Linked DNA regions of Drosophila melanogaster. The protein of the gene in region 3 interacts with the protein of the main gene of each other region in a pairwise test. Each region holds a gene or a part of one and is shown on either strand. Other genes may lie near its edges.

Region 1 (3,713 bases), about 14 Mb from region 3:
ATGTGAGTTGTCACTTGAGTAAACGACACATGCAAAAGCAATGAGGAAGTCGTAAGTTAGTTTTGCATCTTACTTAGCTAAATTGTCAAGGCCCATTTGCCATACGTGCCTTTTCCCCATTTCGAGTTTCTCTGTATCAATCGAGGGATATGTATCCTTCACCAACTCCTAGCTATTCAAGCTGTTTCCTGGCCCCACTAGCAACTCCACAGATGCCATTTGCACAAGCTCAACTGAGTCGAAGCTAAGGGCAAATCACATGCCAAACACAGGGACAAAAGTGTAGCTATATTTGGTGAATAAAAGTTACATATTGCAGAGAGAGTCTCTTTTTGTGTAAATTTTTTTTTTAATTAAATAGTCGATTTCTTTGATGCATCAGATTCTGTCTTTTGTTTTCAGGCACATTTTTTCTAACACTGTATTCTTGGGGTCACCGGGAGCTCTTCTTCGACTTCCGTTTCCGCTCTCGCATCGAACATTGGGAGTTCTCCCCAAAATGGAGACCCGTCACGTGCAGTGAACAAATGCCCGAATTACGTGACTGCTGCCAAGTGCGGATGCGAATGTGGATATGGTTGTGGATGGAAATGCATATTTCGATGCAGGATACGGATCAAATTCGCTAAACAAGCGCTACGAGTGCAAGCCAAACAGACGGAGAACGGGAAACTCCGTTAAGGAAAATTGACGAAAGGCGAGGAAATTCCGCTCAGCGTTTTTCCAGCCGAAAAATGCGGGAATTTCAGCGATTGCGTGTGAAAATGCAACAAGAAACCAAAACAGCAAACACCAAATGTGCGATAGTCAAATGAGGCCTGAGGTTGGCCAGTTGTTCAGTTGTTCAATTGCTCAGTTGGTCAGAAACAAAAGCCAAGTTTGTTTCCCGTTAACTAAGAAGGAGAACCCGGAGGTTGTTAAAAGTGCCATGGGTATACGGACCCCAAAGGAGGCAGCGATTATCACGTGCCACTGCAGTTGCATTCCGTTGTAAGGACATAAGGATATAACATAGGGGCACGAGCTCTCAGATAGGGTATCTCAGTTTGAGATCCCACGTGTTCGTCCTTAAGTCTTAAGGGCAAACGGGTGGATGTGGATGGGTTGAGCAACGCCCAGTTGAAATTTACATAAAGATCACGCACACTAAAAATGTGCCTTTTAATTGTAAATTAGATTTGTTATTCCTTGTTATTCGAATTTCTTTGGTCATTCATCGCAAACGTTTTTCATTGAAGTGCGAAATACATTTTCAATTTTCATTCTCCATATTGCCCGTGTTGATTTCCATTTGCATCCAGATGCCAAATTCGATTTCTTTTGGCCTTGAGTTATACGTTGAGTCCAAGAATGGTAGAGTCGTTCCATTGAGGAGTTTTCTTCCGAAATAGATCGAAGTCGGTGCAGCTGCGTGGTATTCGAGGTTACGACTTTTCTGGTTTTTGATTCGGTTGGCAAAAGGTCCTTCCCGCTGATTCGAGACTTGTGGCCGGCGTCAACGGCGTTCCGAGGACTGCGCCACGGCGTTTACACAACAATTGGCCATGGCAAGGACCAAGGATCCGGCCAACACACAATGGCCCAAGGACGCCGACCAAAATGACTGACCGACCATGATCGGTATACATCGGTCATATATCTGCAGCCATAACTCATAGTTTCACAAATAAAAAGGCTGATAAAACCGAAAAGAGTTATGGCCAGGAAAGTATTTTAAATATGAAGGTATAGGATAGTAAGAGTAAGCACTACGACAGTCCAACCTTAACTCGTTGGCCAGATCGAAAGTGCTCGAATCAAGGACTTTTCAAACAGGATCGCAGGTACTCTCCCAATCGCAGTGTTTTTGACCAAATTGCCGGGCCATAAAGTATCGCGTATTTTCATGAAATCCCGTTCGCGGATTAGGCCAGAAAATATCTGAAAAACTAATCAGGTAGCCGCATGCGGTACGGGTGATTCCAGGAACTCCGGGATCCTCCTGCCTCTACCTGCTGGACATATATAAGCCCGCCGGTTTATGGCCATGCAGAACAGTCGACAAGGAATTGTCAAGCGAGTAACATCATACCAGAGTTTACTACACTACAACTTTCAAACGAAACCGAAATCATGGGTTGTTGTGCAAGCAATCTGAAGCTCAAGGAGCTGAGCAGCCTGAATAGCAGCATCTATGTGGCCTCCGGCGGATCGGCAAGTCGCTCCCAGAAGCGTTTGTACAGCAGTCGCAACAGCAGCGGAGTGGGCAGCAGCAGCAGCGGTAGCAGCAGCGGTAGCAGCAGCTCCTCATCGTCCAGTCGCAGCATCTGGAGCCGCTCCAGCCAGCCGATTTGCGATGATTTCGCAGAGCAACCACAACTGGACAAATCCTGCGGTTACTACACCTGCAGCAGCGCCAATTCATCGCCGAGAAAGGGCCAGGAGAATGACGAGGAGATGGAGGGAGTGCTTATGCGCACGCAGGACATGAGTGCATCATCCCGAGACTCTACACAATCCGATCAAATGGTGGGCAATCTGGAGTGGGAGATGCACATGATGCAGCAGGCGCAGCGCATTATGCCCAAGACCTCGTCGCCGATTTGCCAAAGAAGGGATAATGCTCAGATGCCTCCCTCATCGTACCAGAAGTGGAGAAACTATCTGCAATCCACGCCAGCGCACATGCTGCACAATGTCACCCACATTCCGGAGGCAATTGCCGGCCACTTTTGCCCCACCAGCTTTCCGGGCTTCAGCGACCTGGAGGAGATGGAGAGTGCGGCCAAGAGGTTCAAGGTGGATTTCGAGAAGGAACCACTGGAGGAGCCCATGTACACCACCTACCAATTGCTAGCCGGGCACACGCACACCATATCCACAGATCTGTGAGGCGTGAAGACCCAACCAATCGCACCATCTCCGCCTGGTTCGGAGTGGTTCGGCGATTGGTGTAGCCCATCGATGTAATACCCGGCGAGGACTGGCAACAGGTGTGCCAGCTGTCAAACAGTTGGGCAATTAATAATTACAAATCCGCTACGATTGCATTGCCCAGCAATGGCAAATCGACCTATACGATTTTACAAAAATACCTATTATTTTTTTTGACTGTATATCATACAAACTAGACTTAAGGACAAGGACAATCAACGATGTGTACATTGTTGGATAATCAAATTGTGCTCGCAAATATATTTTACAATCTCTAAGCTATTGACTTTTCAATCAAACTAATTAGATGCGGGTCAAAGGTCAGGGGCCAATTAAACTGCTGGCTGGCTACACGGCTAGACGGCATTTCTGAGTTTTACAGCAATTTCCCAAATATACATATTTTTAAAAAAAATTGAAAATTTTTTAGATTTTTAATACTGATATATTATAACCAAAAAAAGGACGAATTAATGTGCGAAATTTATGCGTTTTTTTATTGGTTTTTTAGTTGTAATATTTATAAATTAAGACGCACAGACAAGAAATACACCGTTTTTTGCAGCTAACAACCAAACCTAGCGATCCATATCACTTTTTAACTAATTTGGTAAAAATATTTTTTTGACAAATTTTTAATAATTTTTAAGGCATGATTTTTTTTCGAAAAATTTAAAAAATTTTTTGTTTTCAGCTGTGAATGACACATGATAGAAAATTAAGCCACGAACTCAACGAGATATGACATTCCAAATTCACTCTTATAACCAAAGTTGTGAGTAAAACAATCATTTTTTTTA
Region 2 (2,945 bases), on a different chromosome or scaffold from region 3:
TCCTTGACGCCGTAGTCGAATTGGTACTTGGGATAGTGATGGGGCTCGTGCTTGTCGTATCCGTATCCGTAGCCCGAATGGCCGACACTCGGATAGCCGTGTCCGTAGATGCCACCGTAAGCGCTGACCACATCGTGATCGTATCCGTAGCCCAGGCTCTTGTGGACGGGTCCTTCGTGCTTGGTCACCGAACTGTAGCTGGTGGCGTGTCCACCATGGGGAGCTGCCCAACTGGCTCCCACCAGAAGGGCAAAGAACAGACCTCCGCTAAAGGATTTCATATCGGTCACTTATTCGCTGTTTTCCAATCGGAACTTTGATGATGTCTGCTGGTTCTTGGGGAGCTCACCTAGACTATATATAGCTATCGAAGACTCTGGGGCAATCAACCATCGGGTGGTCATTCTCTTGGCCACACCATTCACCAATCGAGCTAGCTGATTTGATAATTACCTCACTAACTCGTACTTATTATTATTGTTTCGGCCATTGAGCTCTATAGAAAATCGGCACATTTTATTTAAAGTCCAATCCGTTACAATTAAATTCTGCTAGTAATAATTAATAATATCAGATCCAAAAAGTTTTTGTTAGATCGTTCGATGTGTTTGGTATTCAGTCAAAGAGAAGGGAAAAACTAAGGCAAGAACTTATTGCTTAATTTACAAAAATTAATTATGACTGAGAATGTGAACTGATGAAGGCGGCAGCTTTTGCTTGAAGAAATAAGGAAATGCTGTTAAACTAACCAATAAATAAACTTTGTAGTGTTGTACTTTGAAATCCTTATGTAAATATCCAAAGCGAACCTATTTTGCTATAAATAATTATGTGTTTTTCCTAGAAATCTGTTGGCTTCAACATTATATTTATTATATAGTTATTAGTAGTTTTAAAACTTGAACTACAGGATTTCTTTTTATTTAATATGCATGTTATTCCTATAGATAGCGAAACAATTTATGCAAATAAACGTCTTAAAAATAATTAACATCAGATAACGTAGGCTAAATACCAATATGCTTATATTTTCACGCATTTCAAATTTCCGAGCTTAAAGTCTATTAGCCTTGTAAATTATATGCATTAAAAAACACTATCGGTAAGTTAACACCAATTCGGAAGCTCTGGGTGCCCCACAGCAGACCCCCTGGTCAGAAACACCAACCGATTGGACGGTCCGCCCAACGCTGCCCTCCCCTTCTCAGCCCCTTACCGCACCGTCCGTCTCAAGGTCATTTGGAGTGAAGTAGGCGAAAAAGAGGGTCCAACCGTGGAAACGCAGCGAGGCGAGGCGAGGCGGCTATTGCTGAGCAATTTGAAAGCGGGCCACACTTGTTGATTGATTTCTAAGCAACAAAATCGAAAAGCTTTGCGTTTTTCAAGCATTTGAGCGATGTTCACGCCCCGCTTAATGATGATGTTGTTGTTTCTGGCAAGTTTTAATTTGCCAATCGACCGACCGCCCAAGACTATGAATACGAATGGGGAAAAATGAAAATTTGCACAAAAATTCGAAGCATTTTTTATACCCATTTTTGGGGCTCTTACTTTTTTCTAGCCTATTTAGCCCGCAGTCTAAAATGTAATTAATCGATCCATAGAATGGCCAGAAGTATAAAAGCATTGGGCATTGTCTGGTGATTATAACAGTTCCAATCGTGATTTAGGCCAGGCAAGTCAATCAGAAACCAACGAAAATGGCCCACCAATTGAGCATCCTCTGCTGCGCACTTCTGGGAGTGGCTGCTGCTAGCTACATCCCTCATGGTGGATATAGTCACGAACACGGCGTGGGGTACAGCATCCAGACGCATCACGAGGCGCCCAAGCAGTGGCAGGATCACCACCAGGCTCACCACCAATGGGTGGATGTCCCAAAGGCCCATTCATGGGGCACAGTTCAGGATCATCACCACCAGCAGTGGGCTCCAGTCGCTGCGCACGATAGCCACCACCAGTGGAGCCACCACGAGGAACCCAAACACCATCCCAAATACGAATTCAATTACGGGGTGAAGGACACCAAGACCGGCGACATCAAGCAGCAGTGGGAGACCCGCGATGGCGACAAGGTCAAGGGAGGCTACACCATGAAGGAGGCCGACGGACGCACCAGGATCGTTGAGTACACCGCCGACTCCCACAACGGATTCCAGGCAACCGTGAAGCATGTGGGACACGCCAGTCACTTGGAGCACAGCCACTCATATGGCCAGCAATACGGACATGGGCATGGTCATGCCACCAGCTACGTGGATGTCAAACAGGACACCAGCAGCAAATGGGAGGACAAGAGCAACAAGTGGTGGTAGAGGAGCTGACCTAACTGACTGACTGCAAGCGATTCGGACCGACTTAATTATTGTAAATAGAACTACAAAATTGTTAACTTAAATAGTAGGTAAATATATCAAAGTGCAGAAAAAAGCTACAAATCAAACTACTTTACTATTTAAAGTTTTTACAATAGTTCTGAGATTTAAGACCACAACGAACACCGTTTATTAAATGAGAGAAACAACTTACCGATCCAATAATTCTAAGATACATTCGATACGGAGGATGTTGAGGCCTTAGTGTCTTGCAGCCTTTTTGTATTCTAGCTCACATAAGGAGGTTCGGAAGATCTTACGCACATCTTTTCTAAGGACTTTGAAGGCTTCGGCTTGTTCAGAAAAGTCCTTCCAAAAGTTATCATCAGAGTCCGGTAAAGATATGGTAAAGATGGTAAAGATATTCCTGATTTTCACAATTTTTTAATTCATCTACATCGCCGTCGCTGTCGTTACTTAAGTTCCCCTGCTTATTCGACTCGATCTCGATGCCCAGAGTCATTGACTTCGAAACGAATGCCATTGAAAGTTTTTTCGGACCTCCCATTTTTGATATTATTAATCTGCTGAGACAGAGAAACAACGCCTGAGAAATCCTATTTATTGCCT
Region 3 (3,623 bases):
TTTCAGTTCAGTTTCAGCTCAGTTCCAGTCCACAATAAGATCTCAATGGGATGTTTGAGGGATCCTCGGACGGGTTTGATTTATACTGCGGATGCGTCTGGCATCGACCAGCCGTTGGCCTCATAAATGTCCCAGAAGGACCTCCGGCAGCTGCCAGTAACCATTTCAGGGTATTTTTAAGCCATAATTGTATTACGACAAGCTCATTTTAAATGGTCTCCACCTTTCAAAAGCCTACGTATCCTTACAGTATTTAATTCGCAGCTAAAAACCTCGTGATTCTTTTCGCATCTCAAGCAAAAGTTTCGATGGTTCTATATTAAAGAGAATTATTAGTTGGTCAACATATTATATGCGTTACTTCCGAATTGGTCGGCGGTGTAAGGCGTCGTCATGCTATGAAAACCCATTTTCCCGAGCCCTAAAAACCTTGGACCAAACAACAAACGACTTTTATGCGTTGACATAAAAGGGCGCAGCATCAGAAAATCAAAAACGATAAAAACGGTCTCTCAACTTTTATTTTACCCCGCATGTGGAGCTGCAAATTGTCATTAGACATGCCGAATTTATGATTTTCGACTGTGATTTCGCTCTCTTTTTGGGCAATCTGCCATTCGATCCAGCACCACCCACCGACGCCCGCTTAAGTATGCTACACACATTTTTTTGGTAACCCTTACCAAGGCCCAAAGCACCCCTTTACTTTACCCCTCCGCCGCCGATGTGTATGTGGCACACAAACTCATAAATTGTATAAATTGTTCGGCTATTATTTCTCGTGGCTGTCAACGCAATATTGCAGGCAAATTGTCCTGGACAATGACGACAACATGTTGGCGGGGAAATGGGCAAGCAGGGGTTATAGGTCGGCTTGGAAATACATTTTTCTATGTGTTTTTATGAGCCCCGAATGTGAGATGGAGGCACATCAAAATGGAGATTACCTCTAGTTTTCCGACAACCTGTTTTATTAACAAGTTTTCACCTCTCGTATCGTACCTTCTAACGTGTATGATTTAGGTACGATTGGTCCAGCTGTGAATCTGCTGCTTATGTTCAGTGATTCTATCAATATAATCTATCATTTTCAGACGACAATTTCGGTTGCAGACCGCCAACCCCTTAATCCCTAACCATATATGGATTTTTTATATAACCATTTTTATGGAATTTTCTGCTCGTTTGTGTCAGATTTTTACCCATTTTTCGCAATTGACTTTGCAGCCTTGACTTACGCCAAATGACATAATTAGCCATGGGCGGGGGGCGTGGCAGGTAGTCGTTTTAGGGCTAGGGTTATTATATAGCACGTAACCCTAGCGCTGGCCATGCGCCATAAAAGATGCAATTTCGCGCGAATTCTAACCCCAGCAAATCCTTTTTCGTCCTGCACTTTAATGCCCGTTTTTTTTTCCACCGAAAATACCCGGGTTTCCTCCCTTTTTATGCCGTTTTTATTATTATTTGCGAAAACGGTTAGAAAGTCAATTGTTTTATGGGATTACGGAAAAGCAGCAGGCGGGGCATTCCAGTAGGTGCTGCCTCAAAAGTCAGCTGCCCAAACATTTGGGGCCTACAACGCTACGCCCAGATCCCCAGTCGTTCTCCGAGCACCGACTCGACAAGACCCAAAATATATTCGAGCTCAAAAGTTTACAATTTCGAACAAAGTCAAGGCTTCACAAAATTTTCATATAAAATTCACCGTTGAAAATAACTTTTCGTTCCGCTCTTTTTTCGTTCCTTTTCTGTTTAAATATACAATATATATTAGGTAAAAAATAACATACTACACGTACAACTTTTCAAATTCAACAAAAATATATATTCCATACAGATTAAACGGCGTACGGACCCACTGAGTTACAATGCAACGTTCCATTTTCAAGAGTAGCTGTTCCAGGACACTGATCCTGCTTAACTCCCTGAAATCCATGCACCACAAGAGCCTGCACGTGGAGCAACTGTTGGAGGCAGCTCCAGCGCCCAAAAACCGCTGCCTGGATCTGTTGGGTCGCTTGATCCATGGCCGATTGAGTCTCTTGGGCGGTCGTCCTGTCCCGCCCAGATTCTTACCGCTATTGGCGGGTGATCGAAGCCTGTACTTTAATGCGGACGAGGACGAAGAGTTTCGTAAGCGTTTGGCCATGCAGCTGAAGGAGTTGCGAGAGACCCTGCAAGAAAAACAGGAACTTCGCGAGGGACAAGAGCAGGACTTTCAGGAGCTGGAGCAACAGGACGAGGAGGAGGATCAGCCGTATGTGCCCAGATCTCGGGAGATCTCCATGGAGGATCTCACTGACGAGGAGCTAAGTGACGTGCGGGGGCTGCGGATGAGTGCCAGCCAGGATGATGGCAAGTCTGGTAATTTCGAGCAGCCAGAAACCAGTGAATTGGAAAGCGAGGAGACGGCGGATGCTAAGGATCCCCGGGAGTCCGGGCAGCCGCGAGAGCCTCAAGATGCCCACGATGCCATCGAACACGTTCGCGAGGGTGAAATCGAAGGAGTTTACTGGACGGGCGAGGGCAAACGGATTGTCACTCAAACGCCACAGCGTAAGACGGGTCATTCGGGATTCATCGATGGCCATGGCGAAGAGATTCCCCAGGAGGACTCCAAGCAAGAGGTGGCTCCCTATCACCCTGAGCCTCGGGCCCAGGCGCAGGCCACCTCCAAGGTGATAAGGAAGGGCCGCAAGCCCAAGTCGTCAACCAAAACCAACACGCCCAGCGATTCCGACGAATAACTAAATTGCCAGTAAATGAAACCAAAACCCTCGAGCTGGGATCGCTAAAATAAATACAAAAGGCTAAAGACAAAACGCTCTATGCCGTGTTTCCCTTTCCCAGTAACCATCTGAGGTTTCTGCGGGTTGCATTCAGTTGAGTCATCTGCAGCCAGCACTACCTGGCCACTGCTTAGCAAATTTTATGCAATGACCAGGAGTCAAGGACGATTTACCTGGGCGGACAACACACGCTTCCCACACGCGGCGGTGGGCACTCTCACTCTTTTTTGCGTCCTCTAAAATCCTTTTTTACAGCCCTATCCTTTTTTTGGCTTTTGGTGGAATTCTGGGAAAATTTTACATAAAGATCGTAGAACACCGAGCATGTTTTTTTTTTTTAATATAATTTTTCAAATAGATTCAAATGTTGCTAGCCATTGGTGGCTCGTTTAATGGTTTAATCAACATGGACAAGAGCCAAGTCCATATTCTCCCCTGTCTGTGGCTGTTCCTTCTGTACCTGCTCCATTGACCCAAGATGATAAATGATGTTTGCCAATCTAGCTGACCCAAGGCCGGAAATTAAATTTGTTCGAAAATTTGCCACTTTTCCCCGTCTGTTTCTTATTTGTTGTTTGTTTCCCCCTCAGAGTCACGCCCGAAAAAAATCTGGAGAAAGGACTGTGGGAACAAAATGGGGAGGAGATATGGAGAATTAATATCGGGCTTTGGGAATCTTGTAGAACAAAAACATATACATATAACAAAATAATGTTCTTGATGTTCTATTTTTAACTAGAAGAATCTTGGGATTAAAATACAAGTTTTTATTGACTTTTGATACAAGACTTGTTTCATAAATATAATAGCAAATGAGTGCTCGCCGGTTTT

The links.
Region 1: the proteins of CG1324 (region 3) and CG14427 interact in a two-hybrid assay, tested with the Drosophila melanogaster proteins (one large-scale study listed by BioGRID).
Region 2: the proteins of CG1324 (region 3) and Cpr76Ba interact in a two-hybrid assay, tested with the Drosophila melanogaster proteins (one large-scale study listed by BioGRID).

The regions. Positions count from the first base shown.
Region 1 is NC_004354.4:7,038,578-7,042,290, forward strand, and holds CG14427 (uncharacterized protein), read left to right. Parts: upstream 1-2,025; 5' UTR 2,026-2,112; coding exon 2,113-2,871; 3' UTR 2,872-3,192; downstream 3,193-3,713.
Region 2 is NT_037436.4:19,517,031-19,519,975, reverse strand, and holds Cpr76Ba (cuticular protein 76Ba), read left to right. Parts: upstream 1-1,643; 5' UTR 1,644-1,700; coding exon 1,701-2,315; 3' UTR 2,316-2,424; downstream 2,425-2,945. Other genes in the region: Cpr76Bb (cuticular protein 76Bb), read right to left, coding at 1-281.
Region 3 is NC_004354.4:20,733,948-20,737,570, reverse strand, and holds CG1324 (uncharacterized protein), read left to right. Parts: upstream 1-1,610; 5' UTR 1,611-1,777; intron 1,778-1,840; 5' UTR 1,841-1,871; coding exon 1,872-2,750; 3' UTR 2,751-3,116; downstream 3,117-3,623.